Linked DNA regions of Tamandua tetradactyla. The protein of the gene in region 3 purifies or fractionates together with the protein of the main gene of each other region. This does not show direct contact. Links are inferred from orthologs where the notes say so. Each region holds a gene or a part of one and is shown on either strand. Other genes may lie near its edges. The genes, in order: PSMA7, POMP and PSMG1.

Region 1 (7,045 bases), on a different chromosome or scaffold from region 3:
GCTCTTTTTACAGTTCCAAATAATTTCTTTTCTTTTTTATTCAGGGCCGGGGGGGAGGCAGTGGGGATGCCTGGTCCAGGAATTGAACCCAAGTCTCCTGCATGGAAAGTGAGCATTCTTCCACGTAACCATCCGTGTACCCTCCAAATAATTTCTTTTAAATGTTTTCAGCTTCCCCCGTCTTGTAATAACCCATCCACCCAAGCTGGACTCCACTGCTCTGCTCTGTGCTAGGACTCTAAGAAGCAGAATACTGTTCCCAGACACATACCTGCAAATGCCATGCAGACGTTGTCATCTAGCGCACAGATCTTCCGCACCGTTCTCTCATCCTGCAGTTTGGCCACTGATTTCTTCTCCACACCAAGAACAACGATATCTTTTCCTCGAACACCAACCTTCAATGAGAGCCAACACACCACTTAAGAAAGCAACATAAGGCTCTGCCCCTACACAAAGAAACACTAAGAGCAGAAGACATTAACATAGATCACAGACATCCTGGGGAAAGCAGCCCCAGAAGGTGGGGGAGCACCTCCCTCCTCCATTGGCTGACATTACACCCCAAATGTCACTGGTGGAACCAGCACAGGTATCCTGACCTAAAGTGCCTGATGCTGTCTGTGCCTTTAAAAGACCATTATGTAGTTCCAATGGCAGCATAACTAACTAAGCACCATATAATCTGTAACCCTGTATCATTTCACACTAATGAACCAGCAAAGCAGAGGGCCTTTAAGCCCCAGACCCAGATATTCAAGCCAGGTATTCTGGAAGCGGTGTTTTCTGGAGCTGTGGAGTTATTCCCCCACCCCTCTTTTCTGTGCCTGAATAGCCAAGGCACACAGCTGTGTGAGGGGCCGCTTTTCATGGAGGGATGACTGTATCAGCATTTACTGGGAGGTCAAACTCTCCCCTTTCACAGCTGACACTTTAGAGGAGACAATTGGTGTGGCCATTATTAAAAAAACAAAAAAACACCGATGGCCAGTTAACCCCTCCAGTCAAGACAGGAACAGACATGTATGGCACAGTTGGAGAAGTAAAATCCCCTCTTACTTCAGAGCATGGAGCATGGTCTCTCAGCCTCTGCAGGATGGGCATTTTAGGGCATGTAATTCTCAGTTGTGGGGCGTCCTGGGCACTGTGGGATGTCTAGCAGCACCCCTGGCTGCCACCCACAAGATGTCAGGAGCACCCCCCTCCTGAGACCTGACCACCAAAAACGTCTCCAAACGCTGCCAAATAACCTCTGCCTAAATCGCCACTGACTGAAAATGTGTTTGAGTTTCCAAGGGCTTTCTCTTGTTCTGTCTTACATGATCTTCAAAGTAATGGTGAGGGAAAGAAGCCCAGGCCCAGAGAGCTCGGTGGGTTAAGCAAAGCCACAGCTTTCACACATAGTTCTGTGAATTTTTGAAGTGTTTTCATTTCTTGAATTTTTGGTTGTCTTGAAACTCAGGCTCCAGGTCTATCTGCTGGCCTAACTCAACTTATACAGCACTGGGAGAGGAGTCGGCTGTCCCGCCCCCCATCCCCACTCCCCTTGCTGCCCCAGCAGCCAGCTGTGGCTTTGCTTGACCCACTGAAACCCCTCAAATACCAGGTGATTAAAAAAAAAAAATCTATCATGCAATCTGACCAATGAGAAAACAGACAACTATCTCAAAGACACCATGGGTGTAAACTGCAAACAGCAACACCAAGGGTACCCAACATGCGCGATAGTTCTGGCAAGAGGTACCTGCTCAGATATGAAGTGACAAGGGGTTGGATCACTGCTGAGCCTCGGACCCAGGACAGCCTGCCCTGCCACCTATGAGGACCACTGCCTCCCTCTCCTTTCCCCCGGGTGGGGAAAGACCTGTAACACTCCCCAGCTCTCTTGTTGCTCCGCCGTGCATCAGCACCCACACATACCATCCCTGCACCCCAGGTTCCCTCGGCCTGCAGAGTGCAAAGGTGAAGGCCCAAGATGGCCGTCACCGCGTCACCTCGCCGCGCTAGGGACAGTGCACCCTGACAACCAAAGATGCTAAAGAGAGACGAGAGTGACTTTGAATCCTGCACTTCTCTCGGGGACCTCTGCGGTTTCTGAAAACCACTAGTAAACATCTACAGTTTATGACCTTCAAATTAAAATTCAACGGCCCACCTTGCCGCCCCAAGCCCAAACTATAGGGAATAAACGGCCCCACACAGTGCGCGTGTTCTGCTTTTCTGTGCAAACAGAAGAAAGCGACACCGACACTTCCCCAGCGGGACAGCAGGTCACGAGGACTTCCCCAGTTTGTCTAAGGACACCGACGCCGCCGTGCCTTCCCCGGGCGCTCCGCTGATGTCACTGCGCTGACTTTAAGAGGCAATTTACCAAGAGGCTGCTCCCTAGGCGAAGGCGAGGCGGTCGACAGAGCGACTCGAGCGACGCATGCCGGGGCCCACTGAGAACACACGCTCTGCGGCCAGGGGGAAGGCGGCTCGGGGCTGGGCCGCTCGCCCGCGCCCCCGGCACTACCACAGGTCCTGCTCGGACACGCGCAGCCGGCGCCCCAAGCCTGGGCTCCGAGACACTGCGCCGCAAACGGCAACACGGAACCGCGGGCCACAGCACGGAAACGCGCGGGAACACAGCAGCCCTGGCGGCGGGGTCCAGGGCGCCCACCCCCGGGCATGACCCCAGGTCCCCCGGCCTCCCTGCTTGTTCCGGGGCGCGCACCTTCCCGACGACGACCCAGGGGCAGCCCGGCCCTCCCCGCCGCCGGCCAGCCAGCTCCACTTCCGCCCGGATCCCCGGCCTCGCGCAAGGCCCGGACCCGGGCTCCCGCCAACCCCGCCGGGTGCCGCCTCACCGCGGTCGAGCCCTTCTTGACGGCTTCCTGAGCGTACTCCACTTGGAAGAGGTGGCCGTCGGGCGAGAAGACGGTGATGGCGCGGTCGTAGCTCATGGCCGGAGGCGCGGCCGCAGCCTGGCTGACGGAGAGCTGTGGCCGCCACCGCCTCAAAAGCGCACACTCATCGCTGCGCACCGCGCGATTCCCGACGCCACTGCGCCGCCGCCGCCGCCGGCCCCCTCGCGGCCTACGCTGCTCTACGCTGGGGGCGCCCTACGCTGCTCGCGTCTTACGCTGCTAGTGCTGTACGCGGCTGGCACCTTACGCTACTGGCGCCGTACGCTGCTTTACACGGCCGGCACCCTACGCTGCTGGCGTAAGGCGGCGTGCGGCGCGCTCCCGCGCCGGGGTCGGAACAAACCACTGCGGCCCGGCCGGGGGTGGGGCAGTCAGTGACGGTGGTGGGGGCGAGGCGTGCTGGGCTGTTGTTGGGGATCGCACCGCGGGGCTCGGGCTCTGCCGTAGCCGGCGCGAGGGCCCGCGGGCCGGAGGGCCGGAGGGTGCGGAGGCGGCGTCGGGGTGGGCGAGCCCACGATGCGGCACCCCCCGCGCCCTCCCCTCCGCCCCCCCACCGACTGCGGAGAATGAGAGCCCTCGGCCGCGGAGCGCAGCCGGAGAATAAGCCCCTCATGATTAAGGCCTGAGCCCCGCGCCGTCGACATGTCCGTGGCTTTCGCGTCCGCCCGGCCGAGGGGGAAAGGGGAGGTCACACAGCAGACCATCCAGAAGGTGGGCGTGGGGCGCCCCGCAGGTGCTGGCGAGTGCGCACGAGTGCCGGGACGCGGGAGGGCGGCGGGAACAAAGCGCGGTGTGCAGCCGGGCCGCCGGGGGCACCGAGCCGTGCCCTCAGGGGCGCTTCCGGAGCCGCGCGCGCCGAGCCCGGGCCAACTTTGTTGGGGGCTGTCCGAGTGGCAGGGGCCCGAGCGACCGGCGGGGGATGCCTGGGTTGGGTGAGAGGCTGTGGGTTCCCCGCCGCCCCTCGGGGCCCCGGGGCGCGGGCTCGTCTAGTTACGCTGCCAGCCTGGATGGCGAGGACGGCGGCGGGCGCCACTCTCCGCGGCGCACACCTCAGCGGGCAGGGCGGGGACAACCCCGGGTGGTCGCGCCCCGCCCGCCTCCTCCAGGTGCCGACCCTTGGATCACCCAGGGGTGGGTCCCCCGTGAGGCCGGGCCGCCCCAGGGGCTCGATGGCTGACCCGCGAGTCGCCGGCTCTTCGTCGCAGGTCGGGCTGATTTTCAGCGCGACACCCGGGCCAGCAGCCACTCTCGCCACAGAAATGTTCAGATCTGCTTCGCATCGTTTCCCTTCTCTCTGAGTTTGGTAATGTGGTTTCTGGAGCTAGCATCACCTGCATTGGGGGACACCTTTCACCAGCACTTTGTCAACAGAAACCTTCAGTTTTGACGGTGAAACGTTGCATGTCCTACCATTTCTCTTTAGAAGGCAGGTTTAGCGGAAAACCACCGTTGAGCATTCCTGAATTTTCCTAACGTCTTGGGTAGCTTCGCTGACTTCTTTTCCACACTGTGGCTCTGTCTTCCCTGGACGATCTGCCCAGTCCTTTGAGGAAATTGTCCTTAACCTGTCACCTGCTAGGGTTCACCTTGCTCTGGTTGGTGCTGGTGTTTAATGGTTTTCCTCTTTTTTTTTTTTTTGACCTGGGTAGGCACCGGGAATCGAACCCGGGTCTCCAGCGTGACAGGTGAGAATTCTGCCCTTGAGCCACTGTCCCATGGCCCTTAATGGTTTTAATAAAGAGTCTCAACCCACTCTGAACAAGAAACAGCTGACTGGAGCAGCAGCAGAGAATTGGGTTTAGTTAAATTGTGTACCCAGTTATTGTCATAAGAGTGGTCAATCTTAACTCATTTAATTTGCAGAGGGGGGTAGTCGCTGTTACCCCAATTTATAGATGAGGAATCTGAGGCAGAGAGAGGTTAAGTGGAGCTGGGAGTTGGTTCCAAGGTCTGCTCTGACAGTGACAATGTGTCTGGCAGAGGGTCAGGCACTGGCCTCAAGGCCCTGCTAGCAGACCAGGGGCCCTTGCTTGGGCCTTAAGTGTGATGAGCTTGATCCTTATTCCTGAAGCCACCTTGGGCTCACAATCACCCAATTATTTGCACGTTGCCAAGCCAGCACTAAAGCTCTCCAAAATTTCTAGGCAGGAGTGCATTATGCAGCTATCCCTAAATGTGGTTTGATCAGAAGGAAGGAAAACCTGCTGACCCTGCATCCCAGGGCAGAGATAGCCTGCTACTTGTTGAAAATGGGTCTTCAGTTCGGGCTTCCAGCAGGCCTTACCTGGTAGGGCCAGCAGTCTATATCCTCACACCTTGGCATTTTGACAGTAAATATATGTACTCAGGTCTTTTATTGGGGGCATGTGGCAGGTGCATAGTATATACTGATGTGTGCTGTGTACACAGCATGTGCTAGAAACTCATCCCAAGGGTGTTGGGAAAAGCCAGGGGTTCCTCAGAAACCTGTGTGATGATAAAGAGGCAGGGAAATACAACTTGTTCTTAGAGCTTATCTGAGAAAGAATTCTTCTGGGCAAACTTCTACTCAATCTTCAAAGCCCCACTCACATATCCCCTCAGTCGTATGTCAGTGTATGTGGTCAATATAGGTCTTTCACACCTTGCTTAGGCTCCCAGGCAAGTTTACTGAGTTATTCTTTGCTGTACTCCCAGCCTGGCCTGGCACTTGGACAGTCAATGTCAGAATATACAGAATCTCTGACTGTGGTTCTGCCAGTGGGAGTATTTGGGGATTGATGGACATGTGGAGGGGAAGGTATTCCAGATGAGAATAACCAAAGGAGCAGACATGGGAGGTCTAGAAGTTTGAGGGAGTCTTGTGTGGCCCCATATGCGGCCAAGCACGTGGTTAAGTACAGGAGTGAGATGCAGTGCACTTTGATGAGAAACACCAAATCACAGAGGACCCCACTTTCCAGGGACACTCCACTGTCCCCTGTACCTGAGTGACTGACTCCCTGGCCAAGACCTGCCCTCCTTTGCTTTCCACCAACTCAGAACCCAAGTATCCCTGCTCTGAGGCCCCTGATGCCATGGTTATGTGGGGTTGTGAAAAGGCTTGGGTACCTGGAGGGGAGGGGGCCTGGATCTCATTGGGTTTGCAAGGTGCTTCCTGCCCCCAGGCACACGGGAACTTCTCAGTGTAAGTTATCATTACTGTTCATGGTGCAGTGGGGAGATACAGAGCAGCAGCTCTCTGGAGAACAGGGCAGAGCTGATGAGCTGGGCCAACTTGTGGTATGGGCCTGGTAGAGGGATGTGAAGCTGGAGAGGCCTGGGGCCTGGGAGCCCAGTCGGGGAGTGGTTGAACTCAGACTAGCCCTGCTCCAATGGCTCCCATTCCCGGTGAGGGATGCAAGGGTAAGAGATGGCCATCTGGCCAAGGGATGGGTAAGTAAGTGATGGGTGGATGTGTCTAGGCACGGGGTGCGTGTCTGCACAGTGGTTGGTACCTTGTGCTCTCTAGACCAGGAGTCTGCTGTCTTAAAGAACGTGGGCTAATTTGTTAGGAAGATAAATTAACTGTTTATGACATTAGAGCTGTTTTTGGCAACTGTAAATGGTCCGAGGGACTCTCCGCGCTGTGCGGCCTCCTATTAACGTGGCTAATTGATAGTTCTTAGGTGGTTATTACTGACGCGCTTGATCCCCAGTAAGCCGAGGCCCTCCTGGGGAAGGGAAGCACAGCCACCTATGGTTCCAGGTGCCGTGGGGCTGGACTGCCCTAGGTGGCTTCTCTGGTCTTGCTGTGCTGTGAAATGCCACACAGTCAGGGGTCTGCTTGTCACAGCCATCGATTGCACTTGAACCTCAGCTCTGCAGAGGCTCTGACTACAGCTTGTGCATGTGGGGCTGTGGTGGGAAGGGTGTTCTCCAGGAGGGAACAGCCACAGCCAGGCCTCTGTTCCCTCCTGCCCAAAAAACCTGGCAACGTGTCCTGCTGGGGCTCTTCCAAAGCAGATACTCTGGCCGGTTACCCAGATCCTTGGGAGCCCCTTGATGCATTCGGATAAAGATGCCGTTCCCCATCTTGTCTCCCTTCTTTCCAAAGCTGCTGGCTCCGACCCTTACCCACCCAGCCCTCTGTGTGTCCGTTTGTCTTCTGTCTGGTA
Region 2 (6,998 bases), on a different chromosome or scaffold from region 3:
CATGGTTGGGAACAACAGTTACATGAGTAGGATTTTTGTCATTATGATAAATTTCTTATTTAAACTTGCTAACTGTCCAACTGCCAAAAAGGAAAAAGGAATTTCCAAAAATGTACAAATTCTTTTAGAGATGTTTCAGAACAAAAGACTAATTTACATGAAAAACTGTAGAGAAAGTAGTTGAAAAGTCCATTCATAAAGCTTTTATTCTCTTTACATCAATACATGTGTTTTAACAATTATGCTTGGATTGACCAACAGCTTTTGCAAAGGAACTCAGCTACCTCCATTGTATTATCATTAACAAATTTTTCACTTCCTAGCAATCTGTTTTCTGCTCTCACCATTTTACTTCAGTTGCTCACCAGAGTATCATACACATGACATCCCCCTTGCCTAAGGCCATAGATTTTCTCTTAATTTCAAATTAAATACTTGCCATCATTGGTCATTCCTTTATCTTAATATTATACTTTCCTCGGCTGTAAGACAGATTCCTACCTCTTTTCTCCAAGCCTCTTTTACCTTGTCCCAGGTTCTAAGAGACACTTCTATATTAGACTTCAACATCTCTCTGTGTGTGCTGCCTGCAGGGCGCAGGGCACTGTGTCGTCCAAGCCAGCTTTAGAGGCTTGCACGCCCGGGGCCTGAGCTCAAGCAAAGGGCTGTGGTCTTGGGTGCAAGTGGCCAAAAGAGCCAAAAGTTAAGTGTAATTCCAAGTCTTTAGAGAGCACTAAAGGGCTGAGTGAAGAAACATAACTCAGGGACATGACTGAGGTGCACGAGTAGGATGCCAACAGGAGAGAGCAGAAAGAAACTAGGGAGAGTTAGAAGACGGGAGGAGGGTTTTTGCCAGCTGTGAAGGAAGCTGAGGTTTCCTTGGTTTGCCTATATGGGTCATCAGACTGGCTTAAGAATAAAGTCAGAGTAGGTAAGTAAAACAAAAAAGGGTACTTGCTCTCAAGCAATGCACACAAAGCTTGTTTCTTCTATACAACGTTGAATAACGGTAATGCTTCTCTGTGATGGTTAGTTTTGTGCGTCAACTTGGCTCGGTAAAGTTCCCAGTTATTCAAACACTGCTCAGGGTGTTTTTGTGAGGAATGTCGTAGATGTGCTTAGCATCTACGATCAGTTGACTTGAAGATTATTCTCTATAACGTGTGTGGGCCTCGTCCAGTCAGGTGAAACGCCTTAAAAGCACAATGAAGTTTCTCTGAAGGAGAAATCCCATCCCATAATTGCAGCGTTGACTTTTGCCCAAAGCTTCCAGGCTGCCGGCCTGCCCTACAGATTTCAGACTTGCCAGCCCCCAGGATGGCATGAACCACTTCTTTGAAATAAATCTCTTAATGTATCTATCTATCTATCTGTCTGTCTGTCCTGCAGATTCTGTCTTCTGGAGAACCCTGATGGGTACACTAGCTCATGGGGCAATTGGGGCCCAAGTGAAATGTGGTATGTAAATAACTAAGCACAGGGCCAGACACAGAACAGACATCAGCTATCGCTATTATTTAATTCCCCAAACTATGCAACAGCTAAAGCTTAAACACGGATACTAAACCATCCTAATATCAAATCCAATTCCCCTAGCTATTTAGTATACTCAGAACTGCCTTGCATTAGTTAATGCTAAAACAGACCTCTTTAAATAGGATGGGAATGTAGGACGTGCACTGCTCAAAGCAACTGTTTGTCCCTGCTGCTCTGGTCAACTGCCTTCATATTGGTCATCAAAGGCCTATTTTCAGGACTTACAAGCTCTTTTTGTGGTTGTCATTCAAATTTTACAGTGTCTTTTCTTCCTCATTTATTCATGACCTCCTTTTGACTACTTTTTAACTGCTTTCTAACTTCTCAAAACATTTTCCCTCTTTGGATTCTAAGATATCACTTTGGTTTGGCTTTTCCTTTCACTTCTCCCTACCTCTTCTTGGTCTCTTTGGAAGACCCTTTGAATTCTAGTATTTCTCAGGTTTATTCCTGTTTTTCACCTCAACTCAAAGCTTTTCCAATACCCTACTCTACCTTAATTTACTTCCATTATTTCTTGATCAGTCTATTATCAACAGCCTATAAAATGATCTGGTTCCTAGTTTCTCCCAATCCTAGTCTATCCCTCATGCTGCTTCCAGGATAATTTTTAAAATACATATTTTAAAATATGTGTAAATAAATATATATACAAATTTATATATATATGAAGTATTTGTGACTAGAATTCCATTATCTCCTGTTGCCCACAGGAGAAAAATCTAAATCCTCAGCATTCCATACAAGGCCCTTCATTTTGACCCAATCAATCTCTCCAACCTCATCTTTCTCCCTTCTACTCACCCAGAACTCCAACCACATGGAAATGTACTCCATTGCTTGGGTCACAATATGCCCTTTCACAAGTAACCTGCATTTTCATGTTTACTCTTCTTGCCATTTTCTCCTGTTTCCAACCAACTTTCCCCCCCAACCACTTTCTGAGCAAGCTCCCTTGTGTATGGCAGAATTTATCATATACCATCTTAAACATATTTACATTATCTATTCCCCCTGGAAAATTTAAGCACCTGAAATTTAGGGAAATGCCTTTTTCTCTTCTATAGCTCCAAAAATCTAGCACCAAACAAGTGTGCACAGATACTTACTGAATTGTGAGAAATCAAGTATTAAATGAATTTTTTTTAAGTTGCAATTTAAAAACTTCTCCTTAGGTGGACTAGATTGATAGGAAAAAGTTAAAACGAAACACTCAAGAGCAAATCTCAAGGTAAACAAGGATATCTTGAAGAGACAGAAGACACATAAGGAAGGTAAATGTGGACTACCCTATACTTTCAAGGTTGTATGACCATGGCAGTGGATATACATAATAAATATAATCTTATCACCGCTATTCATTCCCCTCCTTAAACTCTTTCAATGGCTTTTTTGAAGATAAAGCCTCATTCTACCAGGCCTCATCTCAGGTCACTCTCTACCTGAACTTTAGCCACACAGGTCTTCTTTTCCATCTCAGAGTTTTTGCACAAGTCGATCTTCCAGCAATATTCTTTCATACACCTTTCTACCTCAAACTAGCTTGTTCTCATCCTTAAGAATAAGGATTCTTTAAGTTACCTTCATTACATGCTGGCAGTGTACAAGGAGGAGTTATCACACCACATTTTGGAGATAATACAGTAGTGACTCACACCGCAGAACAGAGACTTGGGCTGGGTTCCTGGACATATATATTTAACCTCTTTATGGGTTGGTTTCCTCACCTGAAGAATTAAGATGTTGAAAAGATTATAGCAGATAATTCAGGGAAAGCAATTACAACTGTGCTAGGTCTGTACTAAGAGTCCAATATATGTCAGCAGTTTTCACATTTAAATGCTTGAACTGTCACTTCTCCCCCTAGAGTTCGTCTGCACCTCTGGCCCAGAGTACACTTCAGTCTGATTCATTTCTGTACTTCTAGCTTCAGCACAGGATCCTGACACTAGGGGGTTTTCGGTATACAATGATTAAAAATAAAACCTGTCAAAAGACTTGGGTCTCACTTCTGCTTTAACAGCTGACCGATGTTAAGCAAGTCACTCAACACACCCAAGACTGGATTACCCTTGGGTAAAACGAGAACTGCCGCGTCTCCCCTGGCGGGGCTCTGCCTTTACGGGTCTACAGCAGCAGAGCGCATCTGTAAACGCTGTAGCTTCGGTACATGTTTATCACCAACAGAGCTCAGGGCCGCGTTTACCCCCCGCCACCCCGCTTCGGCACGTCCCGTCCCAGCCCACCCCACCCCGCCCCGCCCTCAGCCCACAACCTCCCGGCGCCCTCGGCGCTGGTCCCTGGGGACCGCAGGCGTGGGAGCCCCGGCCGCGTGCCATTCCCTCCCGGCGCCCGCGCCCCGCTTCGTACCTCGCCCGGAAGGACGCACTTCCGGCGGATGTGAGGGGGGCGGGCCACGGAAACGGAAGTGAGCGGCGGGCCGGCTGACGGTAACGGGGCCGAGAGGCGGTGTGAACAGCGGGTTAAAGATGGTGAGTGGGCCCGCTGCTGCCCTGGCTCCTGGCGGCGTGGGGTTCAGGCCCCGCAGGATCCCGCGGCCGCCTCCCAGCCCGTCCCGCGCGGTGGTGGGGGGATGGGGCAGGCCTCGGGCGCCATAATCTGCCGAGTCACGGCGTTGGGGGAGGCCCGGGCGGCCCACGAGCTGGTCCCGCGAGCGGCGGGGTTCGGCTTTATGCCCTTCCCTCGCGCCTTCTCCCGGTCGCGCCTGCCGCGCTTCAGTTCCTCCAGCAGAAGCCGGCCACTTCCCCTTAGGTGGAAAGGGCGAGGCCGAAAGTGCAACAGCTTACCGGGGGTGACGTCGCTGACCACCCTTTCCCTGAGGGGATAACCTATGGGAGCCCTGAGACCTCAGACTCCCAACCCAGCCTTGGGCCCCTGCCCTGCAGCCGGAGTGGGAGGCAAAGGGCTTTGGTGTGATGAGCGTTTCGGAACTGCCTTGATAAATAACTGCACAACTGTAGGCCGCATTTGTGTAACTTCAGCTGCACATTTGTGAGGGCTTAGAGGATACCATCCGTGGTTCTTCCTGTTGAGAAGAAAAATCAAACAGTTGCTTCCCTCCCTTTGTCAGTGTCGTTAGTGCATCGCTCTCTTTAAACGGAAAACAAGGAGAAACTGAGAGACTTGACAGTTGTGACCTTTGGAAAAGACTCTTGAATTACCACTGCCACTGACTAATGTCAGTACTGTTGGGCCATCCAAATCTAGAACGCTTTTGTTAGTAAATGGTAATCGTTTTAAAGAAGTCTCAAATTGTGATTGATGGTACATAAATTTTCATACATTTGTTCTTTGCTAGTTTATTAGAAACAGCAGTACTGATATTTTATGGAAGGAAAATTGGAATAATGATAAGGTTAGAACCCAGAGACCAGAATTCCACTTTTCCTCTGTTATTTTACAATAAAGTGGTGTAGCAGGAAGAGAATGTTTATATAGGGAAGTAACAGATGCTTTGGGAAAGGTACAAACAGTTCTAGTCCTGAAGATGTTCACCTACGTGGTACTGATAAGTAAGTAAACGGTCCATTGAGATCATTTGAATTGCTTGCAGTCATTAGTATAGCCCACATTAGACTGCAGGCTAGATTTTTTTCCCCCTGATCCACCATGACTTCTTTGAAAGTTGAAATCTGTGAAGGTCCTTGAGTTGCAGGCTGAGGACTGTTCTTAAAGGCTTAATTCTTCAGACCAGACATTGAGCCAAGTACTGGTTTGGTATAGGGGAGGTTGTGTTTTAGGAAACCTTGATACATGGAAAGACCGAAGAAGCTAGAGGCGGCAAGACCCAGAAGCATGCTGTTGGAGTTACCCGAGTGTGAGACTCAAGTGGTAGATTGAGGAAACCTGAGACAGAATGAAGTGCCTGACCAAATACATATGCTAGTTAGTGGAGAAAACCCGTTTAAGCAAGCTGAGTTCTTTAAAATAGTGTAAGACTAAACCAATTATCTGCAGCTGTTTTACATTATTCTTCAGAATTGCCAGGTGTATTGCACTTGAACGAGTAATTTAAAGTCAACATTTGTACTTTACTTGTTCTAACACTTAATCACATTTTATTTGCTTATTTAATGTATCTCCGTTAGGCTAAACCCTAGGAGATAGACTTGTATTTTCTGCACCTAGCATAATACTTGACACATAATGGTAGAGGCATAATAAATACTTTTTAATGAAAGTTTCACACTATGAATGCACAGGATGACAAGACATCAGTACCAAATGCACTGTGAGTCTTTTGCTTTTTTTTTTGTTTGTTTTATACTTTTATCCTGATTAGATATATATATATATTTTTTATAGGTGGTACCCTCCTCTTCTAGAAACCAAATTTTCTGAAATTCTTTGTTAGCTTCTGTCACCACTTTCTTTTAGCTATTGTCCATTGTTAAGCCATTTCACTGTTCTCCTTCCTTGTCCCTAAGGAGTGGTTTTCCTCAACTTTCTTCATTCTGTGCTAATCATTCTCCATAGACAACCTAGGGAAGAAATCTTTCTGAAGAAAGCAAATTTGATCATGCCATAACCCTTCAGAGGTGCTCTTTCAACTTCAGAATAAAACTCAATTTCTTTGCATGTAAGCTTTTCACTTTCTAACCTTTACTTCTGCTTCTTTCATACATGTGTTTAGTCAGTCATTTCAGACTACTTGTAGGTTATTCATTTGTTTTCATATCTTTGTATATGTTCTTTCTTTTTTCCTGCTTCAGAGATTATCCCAAGACCTTTTCCCAACTCCATCCCCACCCCAAAACTTGGTATAATATTGTATCCCTCTAGTGTAATACTTAAGGCGTATCATTTTCCAGACTGTTTGAGAGCGGAGGCCCTGTCATTTCTCTCTCTCCAGTGTTCAGTTTTTTTTACATAAGTATTATGTGTGCGGTTTGTTTTTGTTTTTGTTTTTAATTAGTGAATGGTTTAATGGTGTTTCTTTGTGTTGTAGAATGCCAGAGGACTTGGATCTCAGCTAAAGGACAGTATTCCAGTTACTGAACTTTCAGCAAGTGGCCCTTTTGAAAGTCAAGATCTTCTTCGGAAAGGGTAAATGGGAGTTTTGACATTTACTTTGTTGGTAGTAAAATGTTTTTGTGAATTATTTTTTACAGTATTCTTTAAATATTTTGATATGCCATAAGTGTATATTTAATTTGGGAGATATTAAGTAATATACCTTGGCTCTGGGGCGGGGCTGTTGGGGAAGAGTCTTAGATCTGTAGTGCAAGAAGCATCTTAACAGAGTTGTGGTTAGGAACCCTCTTAGGTTAAGTACCCGGTAGTGTGATTTGGCGGGGTTCTTGTTTTGGTAACTGATAACTTGGAGAGCCAACTACTTCCTTCTTGCAGGAAGGATTGCAGCAAGTTCTTCTCTTTGAAACACACCAAGGCATAGCCCTTAAGACCAGGAATTACCTGGGTTTGCATCTCGGCTCTGCTCT
Region 3 (7,466 bases):
TAGTTACCAATCTAACATGATTTTGAACAAAGGATACATGTCTTGGAATTTAAACCTTAAAAAGGTTTCTTCTTGAAGAAATCTTCTTGAAGCCAGAGCTGTTGCTGTCATCAACACTCATCAAAATGCTGGCATTTTCTTCTTTAGGTTCTAGGAAAATTGTTTCAGAACTCCCAGTATTTTAAAGTTGCTTAACACGGTTAGAAATCGCCCCCAAATCTAAAACCTATATATGGTTCTATTACTTTTTAAAATTCAAATTTTTAATAGTGCTTTTAGATTACCTGCTTTAAGATGCTTAAGATACTTACATGTCTGCTACTGTTTGAGGTGACAGTTACCCTTACAGTTTAAAACGTAGGTTAGTTGGGAGGGACATCAAACAGCTTCTAACCCAGGGCTTGTTCTTATAGATAAGTAAATGGAATATTATTTCAGTGTCCCAAATGTGTAGTATCAATGATGATTGTCTAATTATGTTTTAACATTTATTGTTTAGGAATGTGAGTACTGTTGAGGAATGTAACTAGTAGTAACATCTTGTGTAACAAGATTTTTACATTTACATGAATTTTCACTCATTTTTCAGAATCTGTTCCTAGAGACAGAGAACCCAATACAAAAATGAGAACATGTATGCATAATCAGAAGGACGCAGTGCAAATGCCTAGTGAAACTCTGAAAGCAAAAATGGTACCTGAGAAAATTCCCCGCAGATGTGCTACTGTTGCTGCAAATAAAATAAAGATAATGAGTAATGTAAAAGAAACTATTTCAGGACCAGAAAATGTATGTATTAGGAAGAGTAGCAGAAAACTGCCCCATCGAAATGCTGCTGCTGTGGCTAAGAAAAAATTACTGAATGTTTATAAAGAGGATGATGCAAACATAAATTTTGAAAGTGAAAAAGAGCTAGAAGATATTAATAGCAAAATGCTTTTTTTAAGGCGGTTCAGATCCTGGAAAGAAAAAGCACAATAGTGACTGAAAATGTAGAAGTGGAATCTGAAAACAAACAGGGGCTACAAATATTAGCTGGCAGTTGCATTCTGCTTCTAGTTTTAAGTAAATCCCTTGCTGGTATCTTTTGAGGAATTTTCTAAAAGCCATAATTCAGTGGGTCAAAGTGGGAGAAAGGCTTCCTCCAGCCAGCCCTTTTATAGACTACTCCAGAGAATGCTAAGGAGGAAATAGAGTGTGGAGCCTGTAGTTGGAGAGGTGAAAAGTGGCCTTTAAGATTACCATTCCTTTCTAGAAATCAAGGGTCTTGGAGAAATCAATCTTGATTCCTTAGAGAAAGAAAATAATGGAAAAGTGTACAGAATATGTAGGAAAACACTTCAAGATGGAAAAAATATCTCAGCCTGATGCTAATTTTAAGGGATGTGCATTAGAATATGAAAATCCAGGTAACTAAGGTGTCATTGCTGAAATCAGAGAAAAAGAAAATTGAGAGGCACATTTTAACAGGAAATGCCATTGAGCCTATTTGCTTTTGAACGAAGCAAATACCTTAGCTAAACTCAGCCTGTAATCCACATCCCCAAAAGTCAGAAACAAGAACTTTAAACTAGAAGGGACCAATGGATTCAAAGATGAGGATGTTGATAATTGAGTGATAAAGTAGTGTTGGAAATAGGCAATTATAGAAAACCCATTAATGTCTTATTTTGTTTATAATATTGGAATTCATACTGAATGATGACCACTTGCTATGACTAATTCAGGGAATATATATTTTTCTATGAAAGCTATGAATGTGACTATCACAACTCTTTTCCTTATTTCTTTTTCCATGTTTTTAAAGAGATACCAAAATGTACCTCATTAAGAGGCAGGTCTTAATTTTAATCAAAAGTAAAAAGTAGAGATTAACACCAAAAAAGTAATATTTTAGATGATACAATGAAGCCCTATCATGTTTCTTTTTGGACATGTTAGCTTAGCACCTTAAAAGTCAAAACTTGAAAAAACTTGATCACAATCCCATTACAACAGACTTTCGTGACAGCATGTCTAGGCTATTTCATTGTGGCCTTCACAGGATTATCAAATCTGGTCATGATATTACAAAGAATTTCTCTGCAGTGAAGTTTAATTTGTTGTTAATAAGTGTTTGTTGAAATCAAGGTCGCCAAGTTAAATGAGTGTACTGTCAAATCTCAACATAGTAATATGCTATTGGAAAACTAAATTGTTAGGACCAAGTTGTTTTCCCATTTCAAAATATCTGTGAATATTAATATATGATTTGCATGTATAAATTTGAAAAAGTAAAATATAGAAACCTAGGAGTTTCTATTCCATTTTTATCAAAAAAAATGAATGCATATTTTTTGATTATACAGATGGACCAAGATTCTAGGTTACTTGAGAAATTTGTGGTTTCATGTGTGTTAAAAAAAAGTCTTTTTTCCTGTTAGCATAAACCAGCATATTTCTAACCCACAAAGTCTGTGTCCTTTGCTCTGTTTGCAGTATCCCTTCATCTGAAATACTTATACCAGTATCTTGTGAACATACAAATGAAGAAGGGAAGAATTGCTAATAAATTAAGTATTTTTGAGTGAATGGGGGGTTGGGTTTTGAGCTCTAATGAAAAGTATAAATTATTCCCATACTTATACTTAATTTCATAGAAAACTTTTATTGGGTATAGCATAATCTCAACAGATACCAACCATATAATGAAAATATTTGTCTATTTTACGCAAAACTTGAACAATGTCAGTGTTATAGAAGAATCTGAACTTTGAATTTATTATTTACCATGGCAAAATTAATTTATGTCAGTTTTTGAGATTGTATTCATAAGCCGCTTTTCATAGTGTATTTCTTTTTTAGTTTAATATTTAGTTTGTACATACATTTGCCTTTTTTAATGCTTGGCCTAAATTTGTTACTGCATGTAATAAGCATTTATTTAAAACAACATTCTTACAAGTATGTATGCAGAATTGAAATCAGGGCCAAATGTATTAACATTACCCTATTTACAATAATTTAAACCAGCTTTCCAGAAAATTTTTCTACATAATTTAATCGTGGAATCAAATTGGGGATTTTACTGGTAAAAACATGACAAATTATTTTTTCAACAAAAGGTCTAAAATGGAGTGAAGCCCACTCTTTATATTCTGCAATTCAATCATTCTATAAGCTCACCTAATCCAGGAATCCTAATGTGTTTTTTAAAATACTATATTGGTAATTCTGTATAGTCTATCTCACTAAGGATACCCAAACCTTCCTAAGCTCTTGCTGGATAACAATTTGGTTTTACTACTTTATACTTAAATGTTTAAATGTTGCTTCAAAACACAAACGTTTTTTTGAAATAGTTGTGCAAAATTGCTAAATACTGATTCTATGTAAACACTTTTGCTGATTATCATTTCTCAAAATCTTTAGTAGGCCAAGTTATTTCCATTTAGAACCGATGTTTCTATTAACTTTGAGCGTTTGTCATTAAACAAACAAACAAAAAAAAAGATGCTCACCCAGACCCCGAAGTAGTCGTAACTTGTGGCTATTTATTGACAAGGGGACAAAACGCAAACGATGCTGTCTGTTTTCAGCACAACTAAATCTAGGAACTATGCTAGTTCCTTTTTCTCCTGCTTGAAATAGTGCTCTGCAAACTTTGTTTTCCAGCACCTTTTAAGGAAGAGAGCCCAGTAAAAATCGTATTTAACATATTTTGCTCACTAATGAAAGGCTACTTAAAAGAAAAACTAATTTTATATTAGTTAGAAACGGCCAAGTTTAAAAAAGGAAGCAACTATTTTTGCACTCTTAAGAAAAAGTCTTTTAGGTCAGCTGAACAATCATCAGCTTTTGAAATGTGAATTCCTACCGCCAGAGTAAAGTTTCATTTTCATAACACCACGAAGCACTGTATTTTTTTTCTGCCCTTCCTCCGTTCTGTCCGCTGTGCCGTGCATGCTCCTCGCCGCCCACACAGGCGCAGGGCAGTACCTGACGGTCCGGGGCGCCGGGTGCCCGCCCCCGGTGGGCGTCCTCTTCCAGACCTTAGACCCCCGAGCCTCGGAACGATGGGCCAGCATTAAGCTGGGCGCGGCCTAGGTTCGGAGCCGGGTGCTTAATAATTTTAATTCACCTGTCTCACTCATGACCGAGAAGTAAACTGAAACGGGTTGGAGGAAAGGCGGGCCCCGTCCCTGAAATGTACAGCCTGGGGAAAGGGCGGCCCAGCGCCTCTGTTCCCCGAGTCCGCGACCTCCGAAAACAAAGAGGTCCCGTTCCACTCAGCCACGCGCCGGCCCGGCCCCCGCGGGCCCTGGCCCTGCGCTCGCCCTCAGCTCGTTTCGGGTAGTCCTCTCATTCCCCCGACTTCCCGCTGGGACCCGGCAGCCGGAGAAACAGCCTCGGGTTTCCGCCCTAGCGCGACCCGGAGGTCAAGTGTCGCGTGGGGCAGTGGGCGGGGCGCCGGGGCGCGTGCGCAGTCCCGTGGCGCCGCAGATGGGCGGGGCCGGCCGGTGACGGGCTATGGCGGCTACGTTCTTCGGGGAGGTAGTGAAGGCGCCGTGCCGAGCCGGAACGGAGGACGACGATGAGGAAGAGGAGAGGAGGAGGGAGTCGCCCGAGGACAGGGAGGTCCGGCAGCACCTGTCGCGGAAGAGGTGCGGTCCTGGGCTCGGGAATTCTCGGGGCAGCGCGCTGGGCCGGGCAGGCCGCGGGTGCCGGGTTTCCCCGCGTGCGGGAAGCGCGTTTAGTTCCCGCCCTGACCGAGCCTAGTGAGGGAGGGGCGCAAGGTCTTTGCAGGCAGAGACCTAGGTTGAAACTCCGGTTGTAGCCCCATGTGATCTGCGATCCTGCACCTGGTGCGAGCCTGGGTTGTTGAGGCGATGTTTGCCAGGAGCCCGCGGGGCGGCCTCCAGGTTCCGTTGCCTTTGCTGTATGTAGCCCACGTTGTCATGCCCCACGCATAGGGGAGGGTAGCGATTTTCCTTGCAGTATTGGGCTTAGAGAGAGAGAGCGAGAGAGGACACGTCTGAGCAACAAAAGAGGTTTCCTGGAAAGAACTCTTAGGCCTCCTACAGAAATAAGTTTCATAAGGGCAAGTCTCAAAACCAAGGATTTGTCCTATTTTCTTGGGAGTCCCCAGTAGTTGAGAGGGTACCTGGGGTTTTTCCAAATGGGATAGTTCAATAGTTAACCTATGGAAAATATGTATGTGTGTATGTATGTTTGTATGTATGTATGTATGTATGTATGTATGTATGTATTTTCCCCTTTGGACCATCAAGGGACTCTACCAGTAATCTTTATCAGTCCACCATAGTCTGAAATGTATCCAGTTATTATATTATATTAAGCTATACAGAATTACAAGGCTTTGTTCCTGTTCAGGAGTTTGGGTTGTTTAAATGAGCTGTCTAGACAGGTTGATTTAGATTGTGTATTACAGGAAATTTAGGTTCTAGACGTAATAAACCTCTCTGCCTTTGGTCTCATACATTAGATGGAAGCCTAGCGTACATATGCTGTTATCTGTTACCCTGCATTCTAATTTACCTTAGACCCAGCCAGATCGGCTTCCTTGTAAACTCTAATTGAGGCCTGATATCTTTTTCAGTTACTTTAGCTGTATTGCATATAGCCATGCTGACTCTCAGAGCTGTAGCACTCCATTTCTGGGTCTTAGATATCACCAAGTTACTCGTAGATCCAGGGAACTACCTGCTGGTACACACATAACTCAGTGTCTCAGAATCTAGAAATACATCTACAACTTCAGACTAAGTGTGTCTGCTATAAGGGCTTACAGTCTAGGCTACCATTTTTTTATAAGTATTTTCTGAGAGAGATCTTAGCATATTTCTTCTTTTGTTTCTGGCTTATTTTGGACAACATATTGTCCCCAACATTTATTGAGTTCATTGCGTGCCTCTCAACAGCCTTCCTTTTTGTAGCTGCATCATAGTCCACCATATAAATGACCATCATTCGCCATTGTGCTTTTCTGTCATTGTATCCTTTGTGTTGGGCATTATAGATAATGTCCACAGTGAACAGCCATGTCTCACAGTATCCTCGCTTGGTTGTACAATCAGCAGCACTCTCAATTTTCGACAGTTTTCAATGGTTCATATAGCAAAGAACCAGCAAACACAATGCCACCAACTATCAAATCAAAACTACCCCTTATCACTTGTCTCTGCCCCCCAATTAATTGCCCCATTAGTGTTGTGGTACTGTTCTGTTAACTATTGGCCATAGTATGCATTTTTAGTTTTCCCCCATATCCCTCTACTAACTTTGTTCACTGCCGAACCACCAAAATAGTTCATGCAAGAACTTATTTATAATTGTAGATTTAATCACATGGCACTATACATCCCCTTTCAATCATATTCACCTTCAGTATGGCAGTGTTGCTTAGAACCCCACCAGTTAGGTACCATCACTTCAATCCATTCCCTTGCATTTAGATTCAGTTTCTTTGGGTAGCCTCTCCTCTGTCTCTAGCTTTTGTGTACCTCTAGATCTGCTATAAATTCTACAGTGTAACCTCTGAGATTACCTTTACCAGATTCATGATGGCAAACGCATCCAGTATGCTTTTGTGTGTGGCTTATTTCACTCAGTATTATGTCCTCAAGGTCCATCCATATGGTCATATGCTGTAGACCTCATGTTGTTTTACTGCTGCTTAATAGTCCATCATATGTATATACCACATTTTGTTTTGTTTATTCACTTGTCTGTTAATGGGCACTTGGATTGCATCCATTTTTTGGTGATTGTGAATAATGCTGCTATGAACATAGTTGTGCAAATGTCTGTTCATGTCACTGACCTCAGTTCTTCTGGATATGTACTGAGTATTGGTATTGCTGGGTCATAGGTTAACTCAATATTTATTTTTTATGAGGACTCACCAAACTGTCTTCCACAACGGCTGTGCCATTATACGTTCCTACCAATGGTGAATAGGTGTTTCGATTTCTCCACATCTTTCCAACAGTTGTAGTTTTCTGTTTAATAGCAGCTATTCTCAGAGGTAGGAGGTGATATCTCATTGTCTTAATTTGCATTACCCTTTTAGCTAATGAAATGATCATCTCTTCATCTGTATTTGCTCTTCAGAAAATGTCTATTCATATCTCTGCCCATTTTATAATTGGATTGTTTGTTCTGTTGTTGAGCCAGGATATCAAGCCTTTATCCAATGTGTAGTTTCCAAATATTTTCTCCCATTGAGTTGGCTGCCTCTTCACCTTTTTTGACACAGTTCTTTGAGGCACAGAAGCTCTTGATCTTAAGGAATTCCCATTTGTCTGTGTATTCTTTTACTTCCTGTGCTTTAGGTGTAAAATTTAAGAAGGTACCTCCTATTACTAGATCTTGAAGATGTTAGCAGTATGTTTTTGATAGCATCTAATAGTCCATGGTCCAGTTTAGATAGTTGTCTCAAATATGACATATTACAGTGGGTTTGT

The links.
Region 1: the proteins of PSMG1 (region 3) and PSMA7 purify together in Homo sapiens (affinity purification with mass spectrometry; 3 studies listed by BioGRID and IntAct, with this or other methods). This does not show direct contact. The link is inferred for Tamandua tetradactyla from reciprocal best matches to the Homo sapiens genes PSMG1 and PSMA7.
Region 2: the proteins of PSMG1 (region 3) and POMP purify together in Homo sapiens (affinity purification with mass spectrometry; 4 studies listed by BioGRID and IntAct, with this or other methods). This does not show direct contact. The link is inferred for Tamandua tetradactyla from reciprocal best matches to the Homo sapiens genes PSMG1 and POMP.

Annotation. Positions count from the first base shown.
Region 1 is NC_135327.1:59,722,395-59,729,439, forward strand, and holds the start of PSMA7 (proteasome subunit alpha type-7), read right to left. Parts: upstream 3,057-7,045; 5' UTR 2,946-3,056; coding exon 2,850-2,945; intron 399-2,849; coding exon 272-398; intron 1-271. Other genes in the region: SS18L1 (calcium-responsive transactivator), read left to right, coding at 3,552-3,620.
Region 2 is NC_135330.1:193,920,315-193,927,312, forward strand, and holds the start of POMP (proteasome maturation protein), read left to right. Parts: upstream 1-3,912; 5' UTR 3,913-4,025; coding exon 4,026-4,028; exon of another isoform or gene 4,029-4,069; intron 4,070-6,505; coding exon 6,506-6,603; intron 6,604-6,998. UniProt on the Homo sapiens protein: Molecular chaperone essential for the assembly of standard proteasomes and immunoproteasomes. Degraded after completion of proteasome maturation. Mediates the association of 20S preproteasome with the endoplasmic reticulum.
Region 3 is NC_135336.1:102,646,841-102,654,306, forward strand, and holds the start of PSMG1 (proteasome assembly chaperone 1), read left to right. Parts: upstream 1-4,457; 5' UTR 4,458-4,509; coding exon 4,510-4,643; intron 4,644-7,466. Other genes in the region: BRWD1 (bromodomain and WD repeat-containing protein 1), read left to right, coding at 590-981. UniProt on the Homo sapiens protein: Chaperone protein which promotes assembly of the 20S proteasome as part of a heterodimer with PSMG2.